Oryctolagus cuniculus: one gene and its partners. The main gene of each other region encodes a partner of the protein of the gene in region 4 in a complex. Links are inferred from orthologs where the notes say so. Each region holds a gene or a part of one and is shown on either strand. Other genes may lie near its edges. The genes, in order: MED20, MED24, MED31, MED13, MED16, CDK8 and MED8.

Region 1 (4,112 bases), on a different chromosome or scaffold from region 4:
ACATCTTGCCATGTGTTCTGGAATACACAAAAGCATAAGGAACTCTCATTAATGCCCGTGAATTCCAAGGCACATTCCAGCCGTCCTACATACCCATCTCACTGACCTTGGCTTCCAAGGGTAGAGGCAGCCGTGTGATAAGTCTCACAATCCACACAAAACGTTCCTTGCTTCTCTGCCCCAAGCATCTCCAATTTTCGGGTGAGGAGCTCCACGGTCTGCTGGACACTCTTGCCCTCGGCCACAGGCATCTGGGACACACTGGGAAGGAGAGAACCACAGTGTCAGTACCCAGACACACACATACTCACTTAGCCATTCTATCCACAGAACTGTGGCTCAGCCAAGCCAGAAGCTACGACCCCACCCCTCCCTCACGTTGTAAAGATGCGGAAATAGAAGCCGCCAGCCAGCCAGCGCCGCGGCTCACTAGGCTAATCCTCCACCTAGTGGCACCGGCACACTGGGTTCTAGTCCCAGTCGGGGAGCTGGATTCTGTCCCGGTTGCCCCTCTTCCAGGCCAGCTCTCTGCTGTGGCCAGGGAGTGCAGTGGAGGATGGCCCAAGTGCTTGGGCCCTGCACCCGCATGGGAGACCAGGAGAAGCACCTGGCTCCTGCCATCGGATCAGCGCGGTGCGCCGGCTGCCGGCTGCGGCGGCCATTGGAGGGTGAACCAACAGCAAAGGAAGACCTTTCCCTCTCTCTGTCTCTCTCTCTCACTGTCCACTCTGGCTGTCAAAAAAGAAAAAGAAAGATTTTGGTGCCAAAACATTGCATAGTTTTTCATAATACATACTTTCTGTGAACTTTCTGAAGTACTTTCAGAGAATCCCTGAAGCTACAAGGGACAGAGGTCCTAGGATTTTGGAAAAGTTGATAAGGGCGCCCCCAGGAATGGCCGGCAACAAAGCCAGGAACTTCATCAGGTCTCCCACGTGGGTGCAGGGGCCCAAGGTCTTGGGCCATCTTCTACTGCTTTCCCAGGCCATTACAGAGAGCTGGATTGGAAGTGGAGCAGCCAGGACTTGAACCAGTGCCCATAAGGGATGCCGGCACTGCAGGCAGTAACTTAATCTGCTACACACAGTCCCAACCCCTGTGCTGCAACTTTTCCACCTCCATCCCGCACCAGCACCCTCACTCTGCAGGGCTTGGGAGGGTTGTGGTAGGGGAAACAAGAGTGCAAGCCCCAGAAACCCCTGGCTACTGGGAGAAATTGTGTTCCCTCTACCCCCAACTATTTTTAAAAGAGAAGCCTAGGGGGCCAGTGCTGTGGTGCAGTAGGTTAATCCTCCATTTGTGGTGCCGGTATCCCATATGGGTGCCGGTTCGAGTCTTGGCTCCTCCTCTTCCAATCCAGCTCTCTGCTATGGCCTGGGAAAGCAACAGAAGATGGCCCAAGCGCTTCGGATTGGCGCAGCTCCAGCCATTGGGGCCATCTGGGGAGTGAACGAGCAGATGGAAGACCTTTCTGTCTCTCCCTCTCACTGTCTGTAACTCTACCTCTCAAATCTTTCAAAAAAGAGAAAAAAAAGAGAAGCCTATAACTCCTGGCTTCAGATATCCTGGCCTCCAGGCCTCTCTGATGAGATGCTCACAACCAAGACTTAAAAAAAAAAAAAAAAAGAAGAAGAAGAAAAAAGGTGCAGAGACCCAGCACCTTGGAACTAAGGTCTCCAAGATCCCTGGGTTCATACCCTTCCCCTCCACCCCATCCTCTTCCATCTGGGTTTGAGAACATGTTCAGAGATTTAAAAGTCCATTGGGGGCCAGTGCTGTGGCGTGGAGGGTAAAGCAGCTGCTTGTAGAGCTGGCATCCCATGTGGGTGCCGATTTGAGAGCCGGCTGCTCCACTTCCGATCCAGCTCTCTGTCATGGCCTGGGAAAGCAGTAGAAGATGGCCCAGGTGCTTGGGCCCCTGCACCCCCATGGGAGACCTGGAAGAAGCTACAGGCTCCTGATCGGCCCAGCTCCGGCTATTGCAGCCATTTGGGGAGAGAACCAGCAGATGGAAGCTCTCTCTCTGCCCCTGCCTTTCTTTAACTCTGCCTTTCAAATAAATAAATCTTTTTTTTTTTTAAGTGCACTGAAACTGAATCAACCGTATAAACGTAGTAGGAGGCAGGTCATGAGGAAGTAAAGTGTCTGGAAACCTGATCTTCTAATTCCCAGTAGTTTCCATTTTGATCCTGTAGACCCGAATGAGAACCAGATACAGGCTGATTATTGGGTGGCTACAGGTAGGGGGAGGCGAACACACAAACACCGCCTCGTTGCCTATCTCCTATCAGCTTTAACCCTACCTGCGGGTGGGTTCTAGTCTGAAAAGCCCTGTTTCCGACCTCGAAGTCCCACTTTCTGCACTACTAGGATTTCAAGGGTAGCAAGACGTACCAAGAAAAAGAGAAGAGGGTACACAACCCATGCATAAGGTTCCTGAGATAAAACCTTTTCCTTGCTTCCTTCCAGGAGCAATGGGGCCCATTAGGGCCCGAGACTCACGGCCCTTAGAGTGCCCACATCCACGCAGCCCGAGGGCATTTTGCTCAGCTCCCGGAGAACGGCGGACTTCAGTCCCCGACCCTCCAGGTTTCAAGGGACCTTCACGACCCAAGTCCCGCCCCATAAAACCCTTTGTGATCCTACCAGGTCACTCCCATAGCGTCAGGCCTGGAAAGCGGCACGACCACACAGCCGAAACAGCGCTCTCCCGAAGCCCACAAGAACTAAAAACTACCGCAGGCTCGGGTCGCGGGAGGGGCTCCGGAAGTACGTAAAAACAGAGCGCCGGTTAGACGCACCAGCAGCGACTCTGGGTGACGCCTCCAGTGAGGTCATCGGCCCGATTCCCAGCCCCTCCCCTGGCTTGCAGTTCCGGAAGTTTCCGTTTGGTTGGCCACCCTGGTCCTAGATCCAGAAAGCTAGGAAAGCGTGGCCCGGGCTGCCACCATTTAGAGACGTCAACGTCAAAGGCAATGCATTTGTTCCGGGCTCCGGCTCCAGGACTCGGGAGTTCCCTGCGGGAGTGCAGTGGTGCTGGCTGCTTTTCTGGCCTCCGAACGCGTAGGGGCGCTGTGAGCGCGTGGCCTCTCGGCACAGACCTGGGCGTTCATTGCCGAGCGCACATCCTGGGCTGTCGCCGTACCCACGTGTGAGTTTGCCGGGCCGCATTATCGAGAAAAATGCCGAAATTCAAAGCGGCCCGTGGGGCTGGGGCTCAGGAAAAACACGCGCCCCTGGCCGAGCAGATCCTGGCTGGGAACGCGGTGCGGTCAAGTGCCCGGGAAAAGCGGCGGGGCCGCGGAACCGGGGAAGAGGAGGAAGAGTATGTGGGGCCCCGGCTGAGCCGGCGGATTTTGCAGCAAGCACGGCAGCAACAGGAGGAGCTGGAAACCGAGCACGGCTCTGGGGACGGGCCCGCCAAGCCTCGGGAGCGCGCCACGCGGCTGGGTGAGCGTCCGCGGGGAAGGCAGTAGTTGGGTTGGGGGGTGGACGGCCCACAGGTGTCCGGCAGGGGAGTACCTTGGATTCAAAACCGGGTTGCACGTTGCTCTCTACCGAGAGCAGGGCAGGTGGAAGACCGAACCCTGCAGGCCCGCTCCCTGTTTTTAGTGCTCCTTTCGCCGCGTCCCGCAAGTTAGGCCAATAGGAAGTGATGGCTCAGGCCACCAAGTTCTCCTAGCATTTGTCCAACGGTTTTGTAAATATGGGATGCTCGCTACCGGCTTTGCACGATGCTGGGAGTTTTGATGGATTGCGTGCAGAAATAAACAAGATATAGCTCGGGACCTTACAGTCTAAACCAAGAGAGAGACAATTAGAACAGTAAATTCCATGGGAAAGAAAGTCTCGTTTCTCTGGAAACGATAGCATTCGTGTAGGGGTCAGAGTTGCCCAGCCTGGAAGCTGAGACCTGAAACCGAATGTTCATAACAGAAAAAGCAGTATTGTTTAGGGGCCAAGTGGAGGGAGAGATGATTGAAAAATGTTGACTGTTTTCTCATAGGGGAGAAGCCTTGACCTCTGAGTTGTTTAACCGACTTCTCAGAGCTTATCTTATTTGTAGAAAAGCAGTATTTGACGCAATTGAACCCTGCTCTTCTGGCTACAGT
Region 2 (4,179 bases), about 13 Mb from region 4:
AGACTGGATTAGATGTCCCTTCCATGTTCTCTCACAGTACCTATACTCTATTCTTTAAAAATAAATTAGAAGACTTATTATACTCATTTGAAACACAGAGGGAGAGGCAGAAGGAGAAAGATCCTCCATCTTCTTGCTCACTCTTCAGATGACAACAAGGGGGCCTGGAACTCTATCTGGGTCTCCCATCTGGGTGACTTGAGCCACCTTTTTTTTTTTTTTTTTTTTTTTTTGACAGGCAGAGTGGACAGTGAGAGAGAGAGACAGAGAGAAAGGTCTTCCTTTTGCCGTTGGTTCACCCTCCAATGGCCGCCGTGGCCGGCGCGCTGGGGCCAGCGCACCGCGCTGATCCGATGGCAGGAGCCAGGAGCCAGGTGCTTTTCCTGGTCTCTCATGGGGTGCAGGGCCCAAGCACTTGGGCCATCCTCCCCTGCACTCCTGGGCCACAGCAGAGAGCTGGCCTGGAAGAGGGGCAACCGGGACAGAATCCGGCGCCCCAACCAGGACTAGAACCCGGTGTGCTGGCGCCGCTAGGCGGAGGATCAGCCTAGTGAGCCGCGGCGCCAGCCTGACTTGAGCCATCTTGCACTGCTTCCTCAGATACGTTATTGGAAGGACTTCAACCTGTGCTCGATATGGGATGCCAAGCTAACAGGCAGCAGCTTAACCTGCTGACCCAACAGGGAGCCCCCGTACTCTGTTCTAACCCTTATCATAAACCCATCAAGTGACTGCTGCTTTACAAGTCTGTATGAATGTCACCCATTAAATTCCTGTGTACCAGGAACAGGTCGTGTTTACAGCTTTTTCCTCAGAGCCTAGCACTGTCTGGTACTAAAAGCACTGACAGAATAAGCAAATGAAATACCCATCACAACATATGAAGTATTCTTATTTTTACAAGAAAACTGAGCTCAAAGAAGCAATCTGTTCAAACAGTTCATGTAGAAAGTGTAAGTTCAGGGGCTGGCACCATGGAATAGCAGGTAAAGCCACTGCATGCAGTGCCGGCATCCCATGTGGGCACCGGTTTGTGTCTGGCTGCTCCACTTCCACTCCAGCTTCCTACTAATGAGCCTAAGGAAACGATAAAAGACGGCCCAAGTCCTTGGACCCCTGCACCCAAGTGGAGACCCGGAAGAAGCTCCTGGCTCCTGGCTTCTGATCAGCACAGCTCTGGCTGTTGCAGCCACTGAGGAGTGAACCAGCGGATGGAAGACCTCTCTCTCTTTCTCTCTCCCTCCCTCTCTCTTCCTCTCTGTAACTCTGCCTTTCAAATAAACAAATAAATCTTTAAAAAAAAAAAAACTAAGTTGACAACTGCACTCCAGGTCATTCACCCCCAAAATCATTCCTTGGGGAAGAAGTGGTTTACCTGGGAACTAATGGCATACTTCAGGTAGGACAGGATGAGCGGATTGGGGGAAGGTCCAATCATGGCCTGCTCCAGGAGTGCTTCTGTAAAAGGAACAACAAAGTAAGGCTGGGTGGTTACGACTTCCCTGGGCTCATCCCTCCCACCCTTCCTTCCACTTCACTTGAGACCTGCCAGGTTGAGAATGTCCCAGGTGGCTCCTTTGGGAAAGAATTTCTTCATGTTGATTGCCCACTGGTAGTCACTCCATCGTTCCTTCCAGGCTTGCAAAATGGCTTGCTTCAGGTTGACCACCTTCATGCCTTCACTCTGAGGCGGCGGCCCGTAGAGAACAGCTTTGAGGTTGCAGAAATGGAGCTAAAGAGGAGATAAGTTTCAGGGAAAGAGAACAGCCGCGGGCAGAGCTCCACAGAATGGAGACGGGAACCGATTGAAGCGAGGAGCAGGAAATAAAAAAGGGGAAGGGACAAGGTGGAGATCCTGTCAGACCCGTCCCTCCTAATCCATCCCTTCTTGGACTGGGGCACGAGGAAGAGAGTGTCAAACGGGTAATACAAACACTAAAGAGGGTAGCAAAGGGTTAAGCCAGTTCCAATGGCCAATTACTCCCCGAGCCCTGGCGGCGTCCCTCGGCCTCTACCACCCCACGTTCAGCTTTCTCCCCCACCCCCACTTCCACCATCTTCCCCAACCCTGAAATTATAATTCCCTATATCCTTTTCATCTTCCACCTCCCTAAATTTAAACCTACCGGACAGTCGAGCTCTAGACCCTAGGGAGCGCCATTTTGGCACTTATCAAAGAGCCCAATTCTTATTGGCTGAGGATAACAAATACGAACCAGTAGAGATACGGCAAGTCCCGCCACGGTGCCTTCTGGGAGTTGTAGTTCCTTGTACGGAAGTCGTATTTGCCATGGAAAGGAAGCTAAGGGACTACTTGTCAGGCCGCATTATTTATCTCCTTTTAAGAAGGATATCCAGGCGTTGAGGCACTACAGCGTCTCAGAGGCACGGGGTGTGTGGGGGGCTTGAAAAGCTGCTTGCAACTGGGCGTCGCCCAATGACGTCACTGCCGACCAGGCCCTTCCATCCTATTCCGACACCCTTTCCTTACCCTCTAGTTAGTAGGCAGGGTGTGGCGTTTCTCTTCCCTGGTCTTTTATCCCCCCCCCCCCCCCCACTACTGAGCTCTTGGAGCTGTGAGACTTTTCATTTCCACACCTGCATCCCACAGGCGACACTGAGGCCGGTTAGTGGCACACACATCACCTCACAGCCGCATCTGAGCGTCCTCACATACTCTCCTGGCCCATTCAGTAGGAAATAAAGAGGAAACCGAAGTTAGCGTGTTTAAGAAACAAGGAATATCCAAGAAACTGCTCGACATGGCCTAAGAGGACACGACAAAAGGCATTGTGTTGAGGATGGGATCCTGAAAGAGAAAAAAAAAAAAAAAACACATTAGGCAAAAAACTAAAGAAATATGAGCAAAGCAGACTTCAGTTAGTAACAATGTATTGATGTTGATTCATTAGTTGTTAACAAATGTATCATACTAATGCCAAGATGTTAATAAAAGGAGAAACTGGGTGCAGAGCTAGAAATTGGCCAGCCTGAGCTGGGCCAGGCTGCAGACAGGAACCAGGAACCAGGAACTCAATCCTGGTCCCCCACGTGGGTGGCAGGGGCCCGTCTGCTGCTGCCATCCCAGGGACATTAAGAGGAAGCTGGAGCCGAAGCAGAGTAGCCAGAACTCAGTACAGCACGCTGCTGTGGGATGCCAGCATCACAAGTGGACAGCTTAACCCACTGTGCCACCATATCACCCCAACCCTGTTTTATTGGGCAGGCATGACGCAGCGGGTTAAGCTGCCTTTTGGGACACCTGAATTCCACATTGGAGTGCCTGGTTTGAATCCTGACTACTCTGCTTCTGATCCAGCTCCCTGCCAGTGTGCCTTGGAGGCAATAGAAGATGGCTGAAGTACTTGGGCCCCTGCCACCCACGTGGGAGACCTAGGTGGAGTTCCTGGCTCGTAGCTTTGGCCTGGAGCCCTGGCTGTTGCAGTTATCTGGGGAGTGAACCAGCAGATGGAAGATCTCTCTTTGTCATACTGCCTTTCTGTTAAACAAATAAGTTCTTCAAAAAATAAAATAAAATACCAAAAGCAATCCTGTTTATCCCAAGAATCACATTGTAGATTATAATGTCCAGGGCTTTAGGCGTTAAATCTTCTCTCCCTCCTGTGAGAAGCCAGAAAGCAAACATCCCCCACCTCTGGCTCTGAGATCTAAGCCTCCCTATACAGCCTCACCCCTGCCCAGTCATAAGGACAGGTCACCCCAGACATTTATAGTCAGAGACAAGAGGGAATGGGGGGGCCCTCGGCCAGTGTCCTGCCACCCCTCCTTTTAGCCCCCAACCCCGTATCCTGAGGAACCAGATGTGCCAGTCCACAAGTCCCAGTCCCGTCCCTCTCCCAACAGCCATCCCTCAGCCACCTTCTGAATCTGGATGAGCAGCCCTCTCAGGCTCTGTCGGGGCAGAGAATAACAGGATCCTGGGCATCCGGAGCAAGGGCCAAGCAGGGAAACGAGGACTCCTCTTCCAAAGGGAACAGTGTGGCTGGAGAAGGGCCAGATCCCATCTCCCTCCCCTGTACACACCCTCACCCCACTCCATTATCCTCCCTTTGTGCCTGCCCAAGTGACACCACTGGGGAATAGTGTTTATACAAACAGCTGCCAAATATGTGTAGCTGGAGCTTCCGATGCAGGAGGGAGGGAGAACCCAGACTCCTC
Region 3 (4,037 bases), about 14 Mb from region 4:
GCTCAAGTATTTGAGTCCCTGCCACCATATGAGAGATGCAAGCTGAGTTCCTGATTCCCAGCTTCTGGCCTGGCGCAGCCATGGCTGCTGTGGGTATTTGGGGAGTGAACCAGCAGATGGGCGACTTCTTTCTCTCCCTCTGTCTGCCTTCCAAATAAAATAATTTTTCAAAAAATTTGAAAAGCTTCACCACTGCTTTCCAACCACCTGGCTAATACTAAGCAAAGTAGTAAGTGCAGCCTTCCGCATTGAAAGGGAATAGGTTTCTGGTCATAATATGCCCCTTGCAAATGTAATTGGCCTTCAAGTCAAAGTGTCTCTGGAACAACTTGAATGGCAAACACACATACACGTAGTTCAAAAAGTTTGTGGAAAAACCTGAATTAAAAGCTTATTTGGATATAAAAAGCTTGTAGTCTATACTTGGTTATTTCATATTACACAATTTTTCAAGAACTTCTGGAAATCCCTTACACATGGACTCCAAAAGTTTTTTGCACCAATACAAACTCGTCTTTTGGATCCATTTTCCATTTACTTTTTGAAGGACCGGCATGTGTACGGAAACAGTTGTGAGTGTGCAGTGTTTTTTAGTTATTGAATGCAAAGCATTTGGGCACAAAGATCGCTGCTGGAAGACACAGTGACATCCTCCACATCTTCCTCACAGGTACTTCTGTGTGATCTTTTATTATCAGTCAATGGCTATGTTGCTGCATGTGAGGACCAGAGTCCTTCAGACCAGAAACCCAGAGAAATGGGGAGACTGGTAGAGAGGAGGTCAAGAAGACTGGGCCAGATGCGGCCGGGCCGCAGACTTCACTGCCAGGAAGGGAGGGCCCCCCAGGTCTAAGGAACAGACAGCATGTTCTAAGCTACAGTTCCCAGGGACCACATCGGCTTCTGGGTAGAAAATCGCGTTGCTTTATTGGCTTTGGGTGAGGTAGTGAGGAAAGAGCAGAAAACAGAGCCAACAGTGAGTGATTTCTGCAGGAATCCAAATTAAGAGGTAGGCAGTGACAACCGAACGCGCAGAACGTGCAGATTCAACATACATTTTTACCAGTGTGAAACTAAGAAGTATTTACGTATCCACGTTTTGGGTTTTAGTAAAACATACATACACCGAGGATTACAAAAAATTAAACTTACTTTAGATACTTGGCATATTCTGGTTCTTTCCAGTACAGCAAGTACTTAAGATAATTAACAAACGCTTTGTCTTTGAAGTAACCTCTTTGAGCAAGAACTGAAAGGCATAAAAAAAAAAACAAAACCTAGGTCAGACGGATGCTTGGACTACCACCAGCCCACAAGTCCTAGTTTGCTCAGTTACAGCTACAGAATTGCTTTAAGTGCAATTCTATTCAATTGAGAATATATAAAAGTAGATACTATTAGGAAATGCAACTCTTGTCAAAAAATCATTAATAGCTATTCAATTTAATTAGGTGAACAACTTACAATTAAGGTAATTTGGGTTGGCTAAACACTGTACAAATTCCAACTCTAACTGAAACCGAAGTCGATTTCCAGCATCATCTAGGAGAGAAGACAGCAAAAATCATCCAAGACAAAGGTCGCTAAATACAACACCGATGGGTCGAAAGGAAACAGCAGCCAGGAAACCTGCGTAATGCTGAGCTACACTTCTGGGAGGCATAATTCCTTAGGAACCTAAGAAAAGGAGAACTCTGATTAAGGCAGCTAGAAACCCCTCTAACGTTGAAGAGAAGTCATCAGAGACAAGGGGAACACAGATGCGGCAGGAGACCTCCCTCGGTGGGTCACTGGAGCCATCTCAGCAGTGAGTGACCGGGTATGGGGTGACAGTCTACCTCCCTGTATTTTATTAATACACTGTAGCTACTGTCGATGGCGGTGAGGAGCTCCGAGTGCGAGCTAGGAGACTGCGGAGCGCCGGAAGACCCCGAATGGCAGCATCAGTGGCAGGATAACGCAAGTTGGTCCAGGGCGCCCCAAACTCATGCAAGCTCCCGCGGAAGCAGACCCAAGTGCTGTCTGGTGACACGACTGTCACTTTCAGCCCCTGTTTATGCTCCTGGTGGTCTTCCTACTTTTGACTGGCTCTATATTACGGTTCGTGGTGAAATAAGCCGTTATTATAGACTGTATCAAATTTATGCCTTGGCAACAAAAAAAATGAAAAGTAGGGGAGGGAACGCGAGTGGGGGGAGGAGGAGAGAGGGAAGTATGGGTCTCCTGGAACTGTACCTATGCAATCTGTTCTCTTTATACTAGTTTTTGTTTTTTTTTTAAAGAAAAGATTCCAGTGCTGTCCCTCAGTCTCACCCACGCTGGGACGAAGGTGGGGTCGCTGAGTGAACAGCAAGCGGGGAGAAAACATGTGCGAAGCCACCAAACTCTGAAAAAGGCAAAGCTGCCGGCACCTTCCCAGATGCTCCAAGAGCCCTCTCGCCTCCCGGGTCCCACTCCAAGCCCCTTCCGTTAGGCCTGAAGGAGGCCCCGGGCAGGCAGGAGAAGGGGTCCGGGCGGAGCGCACGGCTCAGAGCGCGACTCACCTGTCTCCATGGCGACGGCGGCGGCCATAACAAGGAACGACGCGAACTCTCACCAGCTCGGCAGAGACTCTGCCCAGTCTGGCTGGGGAAGTTCCGGAAGCCTCAGCACCCCGCTTCCGGCCCCGGGGCACTGTGGGATACGGGGGCGGGCCCAGCCGCGCTGGGAGGACAGCGGTTCCGCCCATCGCTGCTGGCTCCGCCCGCTCGGGCTCCTGAGCCGGGCGCTGCGGCCCGGGGAGCGCCGTATTTGGAGGTGTTTCACGTCAGCGTGTAGTGGCATTGCCGCCTAGGAGGCAGGTCGCTACTGTGACGTCATTTCTCACCTCGTGACGTAGCGTAGAGGTGTGCTGAGCGGTCCCCTCAACACCTATAGAATGGCCTCGGCCCTTGGGGGAAAGCCGTCCTCACCCCAGTGTGGACACCTCGCCTTCCAGGAAGCGGCGCCCTCGTGCCCTCCCGAGTGCTCAGGGCCTCGTCAAAGCGGCTGGAGGCGAGGCTGCCTACTGTGTCCAGCCGGGTCCCCCAGTCGCCTTTGGCTTCCTGGAGGCAGCCCACATGTCGGTGTGAGAAACAGCCCAGCCGCGGTTCCTGGGTTCCTGCGCGAGCCGCGCCCTGGGCCTCCCCACGCGTGACAAAGCCCGCACGCGGGGCTGACGGGCAAAGAGGCGGAGAGTGGTGGTATAGAGGGATGGACGGGGAAGGCCTTGCTGGTTAGGCCACAGTGGAGCTGAGACCTGTGTGGTGACACCGAGCGCCCCACCCCCACCCGGGGGTCTCAGCGGAGTGCACCCTAGGCCGGAGGAAGAGAAGTGCGAAGGGTGTGTGGGAGCAAGCTTGCAACGTTCCCCGAGAGAAGAAGGGAGAGCTGGGAGCTTCGTGTGTGAGAGGCAGAGAGGGGACGGCAACAGGCAGGACCAGTTTCTAGAGGGCCTTTGAGTCACCACGGGAACTCAGGTTCTAGTCTAACAGGAACACGCTGCATAGTTTTCGGCACAGGACTGACATGATGCAACCGCATTTTTAAAATACCTTCTGCCTTCCGTGTGGGCTGCAGAACAGTTGTTCTCATCCTGGAGGGGGGGGGGAGGATTTTGTCCCCCAGGGGATACTTGGCGATGTTTAAAGACGTTTGTGTTAGGTACAAGGAGTGCTGCTGGCAAGTCGTGGGTAGAGGCCAGGGATCCCAGCACCAAAACCACAGAATCACGGGGCCTAACGTGTCAGTGGTGCCCAGTTGGAGACGCGCTGCAGCTGGGAGAGGAGAGGCCTGGGAGAGGCTCCAGAGGAGGGTGGGAGGCCGTGCCCTCCCCTGGACAGTGTGTGTGTGTGTGTGGGGGGGGGGTGTCTGTTGCTTTTTGACCCTGCCTTGCAGTCAGTGATTTACCCAGCAGGACAAAGGGGTCTTCCAGCAGGCCAGCGATGGCCCAATTGTGTCTACTACTGGGAGCAGAACATCTGCCATTTCCAGTCCATACTCGGGCTCCTACATGTAAA
Region 4 (3,500 bases):
TAGAACTCCAGTTTATACAGGTCCATGCTACGTTTACCTGCTTAGGCTTATGAATTTAAACACTGGATTAAAAGGTTAACACAGGACCAGTATTTAACATACTATATACTATATGCAATTTTTACTTCTCATTATTATTGTGGTATGATTGTAAAATTCATGTTTTACAACATATCATATCATCAAGAATTTTATATTTTACATCAGGTATGTTATTACAACATAGCTAACATCTATATCACTTAAAGTTAAATCAATAATAGAACTTGGCTTTCAGAACACCAATTTGAAAACAGAAAAATAGTATCTTTCAAACAGCAAACTGTTTTACAAATATTTAACTCACAATATTTATCAATCTTACCTGTACAGAAACAGTACTCTTAATATGTGGAGGAAGAGTTTGGACCATTTCCAAGAAGCATCGAAGTAGTCCCAAAGTCCACACATTAGAAGAGTTAGTGCCTTCATCTTTATTTTCATAGGTAAAAGGATCGATTATATAAACAACAATTGCAGGTGGATAGGTAATTGCATGTGAATCACCATCTGTGGGGATTCCCACTTTATCTCGATCCATCGTGCTAAAATATGAAGTAGAAGTAAGACAAAAACTTGTACTGTATTGCTGGGAGTGCATTCAAAAGCAGGCTCTTGATCCCCCATCCCTTTTTTTGTTTTTGGTGGGAAGTATCAGTGAACCATACATACATACATACGTACTAGCATAAGAAGAAAATAGAAATAAAATTCTTAAAACTGCAGTATATCTGAAATGAGAGTTTAGTGCATAAAGGATAAAACTGGTCCTCTGTCTAAGACCTATCTCAGTAGCAGCCCCAAATCACAAAATTGGCTAAATCAAGATCAGAAAGAAACCAAGTTCTACAGGTAACGCTACCACCTGGAGCGCCAGCATCCTATATGGGTGCCAGGTGAGTCCCAGATGCTGCACTTCCTCTCCAGTTCCCTACTGGTGACCTGGGAAGACAGCAGAAGATGGCCCAACCGCTTAGGCCCCTGCCACCCATGTAGGAGACCTGGATAAAGCTCCTGGCTCCCAGCTTCAGCCTGGCTCATCCCTGACCGTTATGGCCATCCAGGGAGTAAATCAATGGATGGGAGATCTATCTTTCCCTCTCTCTAACTCTTTCAAATAAATCTTCAAAAAAAAAAAAAAAAAGGGGGGGGGGAAGAGAAGAAAGAAAGAAAGGAAGGAAGAAAGAAAGAAAGAAAACCAGATTCCCAGATCTATTCAATGTTCTACTACATTTCATACTTCGTAATTTCAATGGTAAACCAGTTACATTATTTGATGGCTAATTTTTTTTAAACTTCGAATCTGTTTAGATGTTTAAGATGGCTGGATTAATATAGGGAATAGTCTGCTTTTTTATCGATGTATATGAGTATAACTCTGCGAACAACTGTATCCTGGATAGATGACAGGTTTAACAATGCTCAGCCTAACCAAATTTATAAACTAAAAGGGAAGTTCACTCAATACTTTCATCATAAAAGGACTGAGAGGGGCCGGTGTTGTAGCGTCAAGGTTAAATTGCCACATGTGATGCCAGTATCCCATATGAGCACTGGTTTGAGTCCGTTGCTCTACTTCTGATCCAGCTTCCTGGTGATATGCCTGGAAATGCAGCAAAAGATGACTCAAGTACTTGGGCTCCTACCATGAGGAAGACCAAGATGGAGTTCAGGCTCCTGGCTTCAGCGTGGCTAAGCCCTGGACATTGCAGCCATACGGGGCGTGAACAAGCAGACAGAGGAGCTCTGTCTCCCCTTCTAACTCTGCCTTTCAAATAAACAAATCAATCTTTTTAAAAAAAGGGAATGAGAAATGTCATCACTATGGTCATTATAAAAAAAACTTGGAGGGGCCAGGGCTTTGGTGTAGTGGGTCAAGCTGCCGCCTCCAGTGCCAGCCTCCCATATGGGCCAGTTCAAGTCCCAGCTCCTCCACTTCCAATCCAGCTCTCTGCTATGGTCTGGGAAAGCAGTAGAAGACGGCCCAAATTCTTGGGCCCCTGCACCCACATGGGTGAGCCAGAAGTGTTCCTGGCTCCTAGCTTTGGATTGGCGCAGCTCTGGCCGTTGTAGCCAGTTGGGGAGTAAACCAGCAGATGGACGACCTCCCTCTCTCTCTCTCTCTCTCTCTCTCTCTCTCTCTGCCTCTCCTTCTCTCTCTGTGTAACTCTGACTTACAAATAAATAAACCTTTAAAAAAAGGAAAACAAAACTTGGAAGCATTACATAAAGCACAATGTATGCATATTATATCACATTACACCCCATTTAGCAGATACTGAAAATGCTCATAACTCATATTTAGAAAAAATTAAGAATCATAGTTTTTATATTTGTGCAAAAATCAGTGTTTTTAAAGATACCTTTCAGACACATCAGGATGTGGCTGAGTAGGAAGCGAAGATGACTCTCCAGAAATCCCAGCTGTCTGTAGAGTTGATGACTGCTGCCCCCCTAGCTGGCCATTCTGAACTGCACTTGCTTGTGCAGACATGGACCCTGTAGCACTACTGCTCATACTGCCAAAGGGTGGAAATGAAGGTAGTTTATTTGATGATGCTCCACTATTCAAACTGGAGGATGAAGAAGATGAAGTTGTGGTCAAAGTCGAATTAGCTGTTGCAACCGAAGTAGGCAGTGCAACCCCTGAAGTCACAGTCATAGTGCTGCTTGCTGCAGATGCTAGGGTGGCTGATGGAGTATTAGTATTTCCAGTACTTGCCATCTGAGATGGTGTAATCAAAGACTGACTTGGAGGGGTAACTAAATTTGGCTGGGAAAGCAGAGAGCTGTCCAGTGGCTGCGAAGCAAGATAAGGACCTAAAGATAAAAACAGGAAGGGTATTTAAATTCTTTATTTCACTGGTTAGTTCTTTTTCAAATTCTTTATGAATAAAATAATAATCTAATTTATACTTTCTTGGTAATTACTCTCCCTAAACTGCCTGCTAACAATTTAGTATCAACTAGCTTATTTTCACCTAGAAATTGAAAACGGAATTGTAAAAGTAAACCAGCTTTTTCATGCAAATTAAATAAATGATTACCATGAAATAAAATAAAATTACATTTTCTAGATGCAACTAATTAAATGCAATAAATATTATGTAGCAAATTCCCATCAAATCATTAAAAAGGCTCCTAAACCACAAGTTGAAAAAATATTTTCTACACCAATAGCTAATTAAAACCCAAAATGGTAAAATGGTAGAATGTTATCATAAGGTTCAAATTATTGGAATGCCAAATGCCTCTGAATTAATTTGGTTCTGCATCTCTGTGGATTAAGTCTAAAGGACGCTCAATGATATTATAAGCAAGTCTAAAGTACTTGGTCATTTTCTTAGCTACACACACACAAGAAAACTATGTCTTGGTGTTACAGAGGTTAGCTACAAATTATTTTATTTCTAAAACTATTAGCAAATCAAGAATTCTATAACTTAAAACATTAGATCCTA
Region 5 (4,040 bases), on a different chromosome or scaffold from region 4:
GGGACAACGTCGCGGGACGTGGGGGCCAGGGCAGAGGCCCGGGGACCCGGCCAGGCGGGACCGGCGCCCGCCGCAGCGCCGGCTCTGGGCTCTGGCGCGGGCAGCAGAGGCCCGGCGGGGGCTCTGGGACAGAGGCTGGGGAGGGCGCCACCCTGTGGGGGCCCCGGGGAAGCGCCTGGCTCCCGGCTCTGGACTGGACTGGTCTGGCCCTGGCCAGAGTGGATCAGGGACGGGAGACCACCCCCCCTCGCTCTCCACCCCCCCCCTCCCTGTCTCCCTCTCCCCCTCCCTCCCTCCCTCTCCCCCTCCCTCCGTAACTCCGCCCCTCGGGCAGCCAGGCCCCGCCCCCGCCCTCACCTGACTGGTCCCACTCCAGGCAGGTGATGGCCTCGGTGTGGCCGGAGCTGATGGAGTGCACGTCCCACGGGTGCTCCGTGTCCAGGATGTGGATGGTGCGGGTCAGGTCTGGGGGCACAAGGACACAGTCCCGAGGGGTCCCGTGACCCCCAGGCGGCTCCGTGGAGGACCCCCAGGGCGATGGTGAGGGACAGGCTGCCCCCTGGCGGGCAGAGCGGCCAGTGACCGGGCGATGGGAAGATGGAGTGAGAGGGGCCGACGCCCGGGCAGCAGCGCCCGCGGTCCCCGAGCACGCGTCACCCGGCAGCAGGGCAGACGGCACGGCCACTGACGCAGAGCAGGGGCCGGGACGGGGCCTGGGCCAGCAAGACCCCAGCCCCACGTGGAGCCGGACCCCAGCGTCGGGGAGGCCGGGGCTCTGGACGCCCCAAGTTCCAGAGGAGGTGAGGGGCGGAGCCGGGCGGGGACACGGGGGGCGGGGCCAGGTGGGGCAGGATGGGGGACACGGGGGGCGGGGCCAGGTGGGGCAGGATGGGGGACACGGGGGGCGGGGCCAGGTGGGGCAGGACGGGGACACGGGGGGCGGGGCCAGGTGGGGCAGGACGGGGACACGGGGGGCGGGGCCAGGTGGGGGCCGGGCGGGGACACGGGGGCGGGGACAGGTGGGGGCCGGGCGGGGACACGGGGGGCGGGGACAGGTGGGGGCCGGGCGGGGACACGGGGGGCGGGGCCAGGTGGGGTCATGGGGGGCGGGGCCAGGTGGGAGCAGGACGGGGACACGGGGGGCGGGGACAGGTGGGGGACATGCGGGGAGAGAGGGCAGTGGGGGGCGCACCCTGGTCCTCGTTCCGCACGTCTGTGGTGAAGGCGATGAGGTTGCGGCAGGACCAGGCGCAGGCCAGGGGCACCGAGGGGCAGTGCGTGGTCTTGGGCCATTTCTCCCACTCACAGACGTAGGCCAGGTCCATCCCGCCGCAGGCCCGGGGGGCTCGTCACTGACACGGCCCAGTGCTGGGGGGGGGCATAGGGGGGCTTAAACACACGAGGCCACGCCCGTCCTCCGCGACGCTGGCGTCCACACGGGGACTCCAGGAGGGGCCGGGCGGCTGGGGCGCGGGCCAGCACCCCCAGGTCTCCACAGGACCCCGCAGATGTGCTTGGTCCGGGGAGCGAGGATGGGGCGGCAGGGGGCGCCCAGGGCCGCGCGGTCCCCCAGGCTGGGCCCGGGCCTGCGGAGGGCCCAGAGTGACCACAGCGGCGAGCGCCGGCGCCCCTGGCGGCTCCAAAGAGAAGGGGCTCCATCGACGTGGGCCCACCCCTCCGCCCCAGGCACCCCGGGAGCCCACGCCCACCCTAGCCCACCCCACCCCGACCCCCCAGCTCCGCCCCAGGCACCCGCGAGCCCACCCCACCCCGACCCCCCAGCTCCGCCCCAGGCACCCGCGAGCCCACCCCACCCCGACCCCTCAGCTCCGCCCCGGCACCCCGCGAGCCCACGCCCCGGCACCCCGCGAGCCCACCCCACCCCGACCCCCCAGCTCCGCCCCAGGCACCCCGCGAGCCCACGCCCACCCCACCCCGACCCCCCAGCTCCGCCCCAGGCACCCCGCGAGCCCACGCCCACCCCAACCCCCCAGCTCCGCCCCAGGCACCCCGCGAGCCCACCCCACCCCGACCCCCCAGCTCCGCCCCAGGCACCCCGCGAGCCCACGCCCACCCCACCCCGACCCCCCAGCTCCGCCCCAGGCACCCCGCGAGCCCACGCCCACCCCGACCCCTCAGCTCCGCCCCGGGCACCCCGCGAGCCCACGCCCACCCCGACCCCTCAGCTCCGCCCCAGGCACCCCGCGAGCCCACGCCCACCCCGACCCCTCAGCTCCGCCCCGGCACCCCGCGAGCCCACGCCGCGACCGTCCCGACATCCAGCCCCAGGGTCTCAGGCCCAACCCCAGGGACCCCCCCCCCGTCTGCGGGCCCCGCCCCCGAGCCAGGCAGCCCCGCCCCCGAGCCAGGCAGCCCCGCCCCCAGCTCGCCTCAGGCTCCGCCCCCGGTCCCGCCGCCCCGCTTCGGCCGCGGACTTCGCCTCAATTTCCGCGCAGCGCCCGGGCTCCCCCACGTCGCGCCGGGCCGCGCGCCCAGAAGCCTTTGCGCTCGGGCCCGCCCCCTGACCCCGGAGGCCCCGCCCCTGCCTTCCCCGCGCCGCTGTCCCCGGGGTCGCGGACGTCGTCCCGAGGCCGGCTGGCCGCCGCCGCCGCCGCCGGGCCCTCCCACGAGCCCCGCGCTCACCTGGCTGGCCCGAGCGTGGAGCCGAGGGCACGGCTGCGGCCCGCACTCGCCCTAACGCCGCGGCTCCGGCGCCGCCATCTTCCCGGACCAACGAGTCGCCCAAGCCGCGCCGCCGCTTCCCGCAGGCTCATGGGACGGCGGCGGCTCCGGCTCCGCCCAGCTTCCGGGCTTATTTGCATAGTCCTATTAGGTTCCCGGCAGCCTCCGTTCGTGTGTCTCATATAAAACAGAAATATTTCCCTAACGTCGATTAAAAACTACACCTCATTAGAACATATACTGTCCTAACACAGTAAAGAGCACGAGTGCCCCACAAAGTTGTCGCAAGAAAATTCACCCTTATCGTAAAGACAAGATTTCTCGGCACCTTAAATACTTGTCCAGGATAGCGGTCGTTCGTGCTCGCTTCGGCAGCACATATACTAAAATTGGAACGATACAGAGAAGATTAGCATGGCCCCTGCGCAAGGATGACACGCAAATTCGTGAAGCGTTCCATATTTTGCTACCCCTTTCCACGAACAGCGTGCAGGAGGAGCCGGCCCGGTCCGCGTGGAGCCGCAGCCGTCGCGCGTGAATGCCCACGCAGGGTGTGCGTGACTGGGCGGTGAGCGCGGGGTCCCGGGGGTCTACGCCGTCCGCTCTGCAGCCCACGCCCTGCTCCTGCCCTCTGGCACACACCGGAGCAGGTGAGAAGGCGGCCCGCGACCAAAGGGCACTGAACCCACAGCATAGCAGACGCACCCCGGGACACGGAGCTCCCGCGGTGCAGCGCCACGGCTCACAGGTGGGCCCGGCGGGGCCACGGTCGCCGCAGCTCTGCCCGCAGCAGCGCTGTGACTTTGTTTCCCTTACCTATTTGATAGGCAGGGGCCGTGGGGAGGGGGAGAGGGGGAGAGGGGGACAGATCTCCCATCGGCTGGTTCACTCCGGGGCTGGGCCAAGCAGGAGCCCCGGGTTCCCCACGTGGGTGCAGGGCCCCCAGCACTCGAGCGGGCACTGCCGCCTCCCAGGTGTGCATAGCAGGGAGCGAGGTCAGGAGCTTTACCCTGGGGCTCAGCTGCTGGGCTACGCCTGGGTCCAGCAGGCCCTCTGCCGTGGCTGAGAACTGGGCAGGGGGCTTCACGGACGGTCCCTGGAGGTCTGAGTGGCCACCCCGGGCACCCCGGCTGCTCCCCTTCCAGCCCAGCTCCCTGCTAACGGCCCGGGAAGGCGGCAGTGACGGAGAGGTGCCAGGGCCCCTGCACGCACGGGGGAGACCTGGGTGGCGCTCCCGGCTCCTGGCTTCAGCCTGGGCCAGCCCTGGCCGTCACTGTTCTTAGATGAAGATCCCCCCGCCCCGCCCCGTGTAACTGTGCCTTTCATGTAAAATGATAATAAATATACAACTTTCAGAC
Region 6 (3,500 bases), on a different chromosome or scaffold from region 4:
ATTTAAAGTACCCAATAATTTTAATGGATTGCAATAGAGTTTCAGATGGGACCATTCAAGATTATCAACAGTTAAGATAGGTCATGCCAGGATTAATAAGCAAAACAGTTAAAGCAATAAGGTATACCTCTAGATTTTCAGTGGTGATGGTTTTGAGTCATTTCAGACTTTAATGAGTAGTAGGGAATTAGGGAAAAGTCAGAGAAATTCCTCTATGTCATGACTTTTAGTCTACCACCACTATCATCATTTTGTTAGAATTAAAAAGTCTGATTTTGAAGGATCTAACTTAGCCTTCCAATTGTCTTGTCTTAAGTACATCAGAATAAATGATTTGAATAGTACAATGTGTGGTAATATGACAGTTTAAGCATTGCTTTTCAAATTACTAATAAGGTATGAAATATATGATATAAAATATGACATGATAAAATAAGTTCTAAAATCAGAAGTAGAGGAAGACAATAAAACAGAAGCAGAAATACAAGAAATGCTTGCCAAGCGACCTGGTTGCAATAAAGGAAACATTTCATGTTTTCAAGATAAAGGAATTTCCATTTAAAAATACTTGAGGGGCAGGCATTTTGCCTAGCATTCAGATTCCCACACCCCATATCAGAACACCTAGGTTCAATGCCTGCCTCCAGACCCTGACCTTAGTTGCCAGCTAATGCAGGCCCTAGGAAGCAGCAGCAAGGGTTCCAGTAACTGGGTCTCTGCCACCCACATGGGAGACTACGTTGAGTTTCCAGCTCCTGGCTCCAGCCCAGCCCAGTCCCCGGCTGTTGCAGGCATTTGGGGGAGTGAATTAATGGATAGGAGTTCTCTCTTGAAATCTCTACACTGTCTGCCCCCTCCCACATGCCCCTACAAAAAACAAAACAAAACAAAACAAAACAAAAAAAAAACAGGAAAAAGGATTAAAAAAATTTCAAGCCAAGCAAAATATAACTTGCTTCTACAAATTCCCCTCATTATGTTATAAAAGTTTAAAAACATAAAAGTGAAAAACATCTTGGTGACAAAATTTTACTGCAAACAAACTGAATTTGTCAATCACTGAATATGATCTCATCACAAATTACTTTGCTAGTGTTCAGATTCATACACATTCTAGGTCAAACTACCTTTCCATTACACATAGAGAAATACTGCATCTCTCACACTCTTCCAGAAAAAGCATGTAATACATATCATCCCTGAGGCATATCTAATGCACAGGTTTATAAAAGTATCACGGAGTTAAAAATTCTGTAAACATTCTTTCAAGAGTTGAAATACCAAATAGTTTGCAGAAATTATTTCAGAAGGTGGAACTGTTTTTTTTTATACATCCCTGAGATTTTTGAAATTTAAAAATAACAGATGAAAAACACTAAATACAACTTTTAGTGCTCTTCACAGAATTGTCATAATTACTACCTTTAGAAAATCTAATATGACAAAACATTAGTCTGTCAGGTCATAATACAGGTTTGGAAAAGCAAATTTTTTTTGATGTCTTTACTAACACAAGATCTTTGCATTTATGATTAAAGTACTCCAGGAGTACTAATCAACCATATAAACTGACCCAAAAAAGTCTCAGGTGGTGGTAGTCAATTGGGGAAAAAATGAATTTCATTAGCATTGTTATTTAAAGCTTACCAAGTGGAATGCTTTACTATCTGGTTTAACTTTATGCTTTTCCATATACTTGATAAGGCTGCAGTTGGTATACCTGAAAGAGAAATACTATGAAATATCTGTATTAGATGTGAGGTTAATTTTACATTGGCTCAAGTCCTTCCAAAGAGAATTACTTTGATCATAACTGATCAGCATAAAAAAAGCATTAAATCAATTTTATAACTCATTCAATACCCATACTAGTCACTTTTTGAATGGATGCCAATGATTAAATGCAAGATAATTCCATGAATAATATATACTGAGTAGCTGTTTTCACATGAATCACATCTTAATTATTTTAGACAACATCTGGGTCAAAAGTTTAACTCAGCCTTACCAGTAACTTTAAAATACCTTTGCTGTAGGTTTACAAACCAAGCTGTCCCAACCATTGGCCTTGCTTTGTAAATAACTGAAATAATAATTCTTCTGTATTAAAACTTGCTTAAAATGACTATACAACCTAGGTGAGTAACTGCTAAGGTTTATTTTAGTTCCTTACTTCTTTAGCTGTGATATTTTTCACTAATATCTAGCTTCCAGAAAGTAGTAAATATCGGAAAGAAAAGAACTGACTTCTCCCTCTGTATCTAAATTGGCTCTATTAGTCATTTTTTCATATAATTTTTAATCATCTTATGAAGACTGCTATGAAAAATATTTACTAGAGTAAATAAATTAAGTTACTTATTGAAGTAATGTTATGTTGAGTATGTTGAGTGTTCTATCTTAAACTGAGTATTCTGGAGAAGCAAAAACCAACAAATGTCTATTTTCTTTCCAACTTACGTATTTCTTCTGAAATCTTTCATTAATGTTGAATGTTCGGGCATCTTTTTTATATCTTCCCAATCTTTATCTGTGAAACACATTGATAAATTTTTATGTTGCCTAGGTTCCTATTCTTTAGAATTTCAATATAGATTACCTCCATTTTCACTATATTTCCAGTTCTTTTAGCCTCTCTGGAAGCTCAGAGTTCAAATAAATGTTCAGCTACAATAAACATCTTGAACTGTAAATACAATTCCTCATCCGCTCAAATAGCTTTTATATCTGTTCATCTTTTAAATTTTTAAATTGTTTGCTTTCCATATGATTTATTGTTAAGTTGCCTCAATTACTATAACTAGGAAGGAATATTATAAGTATTTCTATTTATTATTAAAAAGTTCTATTTCTATTAGTATAATAATTTATTTTTTCCTTTTCCACCACACTTCTTGGCAAATCAGCAATTTCCTTATTTACATCAGCAATCAATATAGCCAGTAATAACTGTTTGCAGTAGAACTGGGTGTAGGATGGAAATAGTAATATTAATAATCGGCTGGTATCTTGGTTTTTTTTATTAACATTACCCGACACTAAATAAAAACTCCTAGCTACTAAATAATTTTTGGGGTGTTAAGTAAAACAAAAGTTGTTAAATAAATTTTAAGAACAAAATGTTTCAGCCAGGTTTGCTGGCCTTAAGAGTTGCTCCAACAACTCATGTCAGATCACCTGCTTTCTCCATCAATACCAAAGACTTTTAATGAAAGCCCACTAGGCAAGCAGCACTGTGACAAGCACCTTTCACTTTTAATTGGCCTTTCATGGTTTGCTTTTCTTTGAAGTCACTGGTAAAAATATTTGCTAACTGTCCTCCATAGACATCACATAATGTAAACTAAATGTCTACTTAAATTCCTAAATGGAATTTCCTCCTTACTTTTTCCTTGCCCCGATTTCTCTATTTTGTCAATTCCTCAAAGTAGAAATCTTGAGATTATCCTTCCCAGTGACACAAAGCTGTGTCCTCCATTCTCCTTCCGTGCTCTTTCTGC
Region 7 (4,013 bases), on a different chromosome or scaffold from region 4:
GACAAGTCCTCAGATTAGGAAAACTGAGACTGACCCCCAAAAGACTCATCCCCATCACGAGCCTCGGCAGGACCCAGACCTGGAACAGGAATGCGGGGTTAGGAAAGAGGGACACGCTTTCAGCTCCTGACGGAGGCAGAAAAAGGCAGTTCATTGTTTGAATGGGGTGAGAAACACTGGAAAACAGGAACCATGGCTATTCTATGACAAAAAAAATCAGAAACTGGGTGAAAGCCTCCTTTCTGCCGGGAAACAGGAGCCATACTTCAGCAGTAGGCTGGATCTAAAAGACAGCCACATTAGTGGCAAGAGATCCAGCATGGACTGAGATATAGTGGGAAGACCCACTGAGAGAGAACTCCTGACCAGAGATGAAAAGGGTAAGAATCAAAAGCGGCCAGCGCCACGGCTCACTAGGCTAATCCTCCACCTAGCGGTGCTGGCACACCGGGTTCTATCCCGGTCGGGGCACCGGATTCTGTCCCGGTTGCCCCTCTTCCAGGCTAACTCTCTGCTGTGGCCAGGGAGTGCAGTGGAGGATGGCCCAAGTGCTTGGGCCCTGCACCCCATGGGAGACCAGGAGAAGCAGCTGGCTCCTGCCATCGGATCAGCGTGGTGCGCCGGCCGCAGCGCACCAGCCGTGGCAGCCACTGGAGGGTGAACCAACGGCAAAAGGAAGACCTTTCTCTCTGTCTCTCTCTCTCACTATCCACTCTGCCTGTCAAAAAAAAAAAAAAAAAAAGAATCAAAAGCTAGAAAGAACGTGGCTGGGCCGGTGCCTTGGCTCACTTGGTTAATCCTCCACCTGCGGTGCCAGCATCCCATATGGGCACCAGGTTCTAGTCCCGGTTGCTCCTCTTCCGGTCCAGCTCTCTGCTGTGGCCCAGGAGGGCAGTGGAGGATGGCCCAAGTGCTTGGGCCCCTGCACCCGCAAGGGAGACCAGGAGAAGCACCTGGCTCCTAGCTTCGGATCAGCGCAGCGCCGGCTGTAGTGGCTGTTTGGGGAGTGAAGCAACGGAAGGAAGACCTTTCTGTCTCTCTCTGTCTATATCTCTACCTTTCAAATAAATAAAAATAAAATTAAAAAAAAAAAAGAAAGAAAGAAAGAACGTGGCTTGGGAAACTGGGCCGCTCTCTACTTCCTTGCCACGGAGGCCCTCAGCCAAACTTCACTTACTAAATGTTGGGAAACCAAGCTCTTTCCAAATTACCCGACATCTGCAAACTGATAAATGGTTACATCATCAGAGATGAACTACTCGTCAGGAGCCCTCCCCAGTTTGCCCTGGCAACCCTTACCAGGTTAGCCTGTCATACTCGTTCTCCAGCTTGTAAATGAAACTTCCCAGTGAGTTCTTCAGATCAGCCACTTGACTCAGCAGTGCATCTAATGACGCCTCCAACTGCTTCTCCTCCCTCTGCACCAACAGAGATGGGCTGGTTACCCAGAGAGATATGAGCATGACACCTTTAGAAGAAGGCTGAAAAGCGTCGGAGAGAGTATGCCAACCGCAGTTGGCTAACACCGGATCTCACTGGAATGACAGCCAGGTTATTTTCTATCTTTGGTATTTGGGTTACAGACAGCACCAACCCTTAGACCTTTCACCTGACCTTAAGTCCTCCTACCAACTGATTCTCGCTCTCACACCTCCAAATCCAGGCCTGCTTTTCCTCTGTATTGCACGTGCCCTACTCTCCCTTGTTGAGAAACTCCTGCCAGACATAATGCCTGGGATTCATCATCCTATGCACATTTCTGTGGCACGTGTGCCCTAGCTTCCTTCGTCCTAGAATCTGCCCTGTTCTTGTCAACAGCACAGCCCCTGCGAAATCTGCCTGGACATGAAGCTTTCTCTGAACCCTAGTTCTGCACGCCCCTGCCCCTCGCTCCTCATTCGTGCTTAGTGGGTGATGTTTCAACTTTCTCCTTTATTTCTGTGCCAATATTCCTGTGCCTCTTTCACAAGCTCAGCTGACCCAGAAGGACTTACTGAAACACTGCCCCATCCAAGAAGCAAAGCGACAAGTGAAAAGCAAAACCACCCACCCAGCTCACATGACAAGCAATGTCAAGTAGTGGGGGTCTGCAGGCATTCCCTTCCCACGGTGTGGGGGGGTATCTTCCGTTTTACTTCATTTCCTCCGTCTTAATAACTCTCAGGCACAGACTGGGAAAAATGATGCCAACCCCACACTGCGCCTGACAGGAGCATCATCTTGGGTTTCACCCAAGGTTTCAGTTGATAACAACTTAGCTTCTGGCCAGCTCGGCCCACAATTCCTTCACCCTTCGGGCTTCTCTCCGATTGCAGATTCGCCGTTACGTCTGCATCCAACAGCCTAGGCTGAGGCTTGAGCCAATTCATGTCTCTCTCGGGCCGTCTCCCTTGGATTGTATCTCGGCTTTCGCAAACTACATCCTGATGCTTTCCCAGCCCCAAACAAGCGGCGGCTGCCTCCGCCCTCCCGACTTTGCTAGTCTCTCCCCTGTCAGCGGACTCCGCCCCCACGTAGCATCCGCGCCGCTTCTCCACTTGGCCTCGTCTCCCCTCTGCCCTGGCCCCGCGTCCTCTTGCCTCCGCCCTCTCCTCTTCGGTCCAACTCCTAACTCTCCGCAGCCAGCCCACTCTCGCTGCGTTACCCAAAGACAGCTAGCTGCCACTAGGCCCACCCCGCTTCTCACCTGCATTGCGGCAGCCGTGGCAGCCGCAACCACTTCCTCTTCCGGTTTCCCAGTTTCTGAGGGTTTTGTCCACCAATCAAGGAAATCGGGGCTTGGCCCGCCCACCGACTTCCGGTTCCGGCCCGGTACTGAGGTAGCCAGGTCAGGGGTCACAGTGGATCTGCCTCACTGGCCCGGGCCGGCGCGGGAAGGCTGTGTGATGGCCTCGGAGCGCCCGGAGCCTGAGGTGAGGGGCGGGCGGGCGCAGAGCTGGGCCCTGAGACCCGAGCGGGAGGAGCGGGCGGTGCGGGCAGGCGCGACCTCGGCCTCCTGGCCGGCCGACGGCCGGGCCGCGTAGCGTCGGCAGGGACCCTTGCAGCCCCGCATCCCCGCAGTCCGTTCTTTCCTCCGGAGGCTGGAGGAGAAATGCTTCGCTCGCTCTGTTGTGCTTACTGAAATCTCTTCCGCGTCGCCGACTTGACCTAGTGACAGTGGTGTTAATAAACCCTGTGATTTGGTTCCTGTCGCGGTTTCAGTGCGCTGGACGGCAGCAGCCGGTGCGTGTCTTCAGACACGGGCGTGCAGTAAACAGCACGAGTTAATTTAGTTTTAGCACTCATGATGGGGAAAGCAGCTTTGGTTTTATTGGGGGGGGGGGGGGGCTTGGCTCGGAGTGAGACCCAGTTCGGATTTTAGCGCTGCTATTTAGCTCTCTCTGAAGCCTGGGGCAAGTCTTAACTTCCTGGATTCTGTTTCTTTGTTGTTAGTCTGTTGTGAGAATCACGTGTGTGAAGCCAGAAAAGGCTTAAGCTCTCTCTGTCAGATGCCAAGGACCATGCAAGCAACTTTACATACATTGTGTCATTCACGTTTGCACAATATCCATTCTCATTTTCAGAAAAGAAAACTGAAAAGTAAGATAGGTCAAGTGCTGTACATACGCCTGAGAGTAGCAGATTTTTGGAGTTAGAAAATCTGAGCATAAAATCCCAGATTTGGGTAGAGATGCCCAGCACTGTTGGAGAACATACCAACAGATGGGAACAGTGAGGAATGTGTGTAAGAATGCAAATAGGCCGGCGCCGCGGCTCACTAGGCGAGTCCTCCGCCTGCGGCGCTTGCACTCCAGGTTCTAGTCCCAGTTGGGGCGCTGGATTCTGTCCCGGTTGCTCCTCTTCCAGTCCAGCTCTCTGCTGTGGCTCGGGAAGGCAGTGGAGGATGGCCCAAGTGCTTGGGCCCTGCACCCGCCTGGGAGACCAGGAGAAAGCACCTGGCTCCTGGCTTCCGATTGGTGCAGCGCCGGCCGTAGCAGGCATTTGGGGGGTGAACCAACGGAAGGAAGACCTTT

The links.
Region 1: MED13 (region 4) and MED20 share a complex: the UniProt entries of both Homo sapiens proteins name them as parts of the mediator complex. The link is inferred for Oryctolagus cuniculus from reciprocal best matches to the Homo sapiens genes MED13 and MED20.
Region 2: MED13 (region 4) and MED24 share a complex: the UniProt entries of both Homo sapiens proteins name them as parts of the mediator complex. The link is inferred for Oryctolagus cuniculus from reciprocal best matches to the Homo sapiens genes MED13 and MED24.
Region 3: MED13 (region 4) and MED31 share a complex: the UniProt entries of both Homo sapiens proteins name them as parts of the mediator complex. The link is inferred for Oryctolagus cuniculus from reciprocal best matches to the Homo sapiens genes MED13 and MED31.
Region 5: MED13 (region 4) and MED16 share a complex: the UniProt entries of both Homo sapiens proteins name them as parts of the mediator complex. The link is inferred for Oryctolagus cuniculus from reciprocal best matches to the Homo sapiens genes MED13 and MED16.
Region 6: the proteins of MED13 (region 4) and CDK8 are in contact, whole or in part, in a cryo-EM structure (PDB 8TQC), measured with the Homo sapiens proteins. The link is inferred for Oryctolagus cuniculus from reciprocal best matches to the Homo sapiens genes MED13 and CDK8. Residues at the interface, in NP_005112.2 of Homo sapiens: Thr1616, Met1617, Asp1618, Arg1619, Lys1621, Val1622, Gly1623, Ile1624, Pro1625, Thr1626, Asp1627, Gly1628, Asp1629, Ser1630, Val1732, Lys1733, Thr1734, Leu1735, Thr1736, Gly1737, Phe1738; in NP_001251.1 of Homo sapiens: Leu9, Glu12, Arg13, Arg71, Lys74, His75, Pro76, Leu81, Gln82, Lys83, Val84, Tyr133, Asp137, His140, Tyr141, Met330, Gln331, Phe335, Leu336, Leu340, Pro341, Thr342, Ser343, Asp344.
Region 7: MED13 (region 4) and MED8 share a complex: the UniProt entries of both Homo sapiens proteins name them as parts of the mediator complex. The link is inferred for Oryctolagus cuniculus from reciprocal best matches to the Homo sapiens genes MED13 and MED8.

The regions. Positions count from the first base shown.
Region 1 is NC_091436.1:127,988,546-127,992,657, reverse strand, and holds the start of MED20 (mediator of RNA polymerase II transcription subunit 20), read right to left. Parts: upstream 2,801-4,112; 5' UTR 2,661-2,800; coding exon 2,647-2,660; intron 262-2,646; coding exon 107-261; intron 1-106. Other genes in the region: BYSL (bystin), read left to right, coding at 3,183-3,450. UniProt on the Homo sapiens protein: Component of the Mediator complex, a coactivator involved in the regulated transcription of nearly all RNA polymerase II-dependent genes.
Region 2 is NC_091448.1:22,376,912-22,381,090, reverse strand, and holds the start of MED24 (mediator of RNA polymerase II transcription subunit 24), read right to left. Parts: upstream 2,801-4,179; 5' UTR 2,217-2,800; intron 2,201-2,216; exon of another isoform or gene 2,127-2,200; intron 1,733-2,126; 5' UTR 1,676-1,732; coding exon 1,546-1,675; intron 1,459-1,545; coding exon 1,376-1,458; intron 1-1,375. UniProt on the Homo sapiens protein: Component of the Mediator complex, a coactivator involved in the regulated transcription of nearly all RNA polymerase II-dependent genes.
Region 3 is NC_091448.1:49,926,731-49,930,767, reverse strand, and holds the start of MED31 (mediator of RNA polymerase II transcription subunit 31), read right to left. Parts: upstream 2,801-4,037; 5' UTR 2,572-2,800; coding exon 2,544-2,571; intron 1,543-2,543; coding exon 1,465-1,542; intron 1,250-1,464; coding exon 1,153-1,249; intron 1-1,152. UniProt on the Homo sapiens protein: Component of the Mediator complex, a coactivator involved in the regulated transcription of nearly all RNA polymerase II-dependent genes.
Region 4 is NC_091448.1:35,500,617-35,504,116, reverse strand, and holds part of MED13 (mediator of RNA polymerase II transcription subunit 13), read right to left. Parts: intron 2,860-3,500; coding exon 2,403-2,859; intron 585-2,402; coding exon 365-584; intron 1-364. UniProt on the Homo sapiens protein: Component of the Mediator complex, a coactivator involved in the regulated transcription of nearly all RNA polymerase II-dependent genes.
Region 5 is NC_091447.1:58,476,258-58,480,297, forward strand, and holds the start of MED16 (mediator of RNA polymerase II transcription subunit 16), read right to left. Parts: upstream 2,801-4,040; 5' UTR 2,644-2,800; intron 1,369-2,643; 5' UTR 1,326-1,368; coding exon 1,193-1,325; intron 466-1,192; coding exon 358-465; intron 1-357. UniProt on the Homo sapiens protein: Component of the Mediator complex, a coactivator involved in the regulated transcription of nearly all RNA polymerase II-dependent genes.
Region 6 is NC_091440.1:96,689,384-96,692,883, reverse strand, and holds part of CDK8 (cyclin-dependent kinase 8), read right to left. Parts: intron 2,531-3,500; coding exon 2,461-2,530; intron 1,721-2,460; coding exon 1,648-1,720; intron 1-1,647.
Region 7 is NC_091438.1:129,634,736-129,638,748, reverse strand, and holds the start of MED8 (mediator of RNA polymerase II transcription subunit 8), read right to left. Parts: upstream 2,801-4,013; 5' UTR 2,693-2,800; coding exon 2,687-2,692; intron 1,438-2,686; exon of another isoform or gene 1,419-1,437; coding exon 1,300-1,418; intron 1-1,299. Other genes in the region: KICSTOR complex protein SZT2, read left to right, coding at 2,886-2,912. UniProt on the Homo sapiens protein: Component of the Mediator complex, a coactivator involved in the regulated transcription of nearly all RNA polymerase II-dependent genes.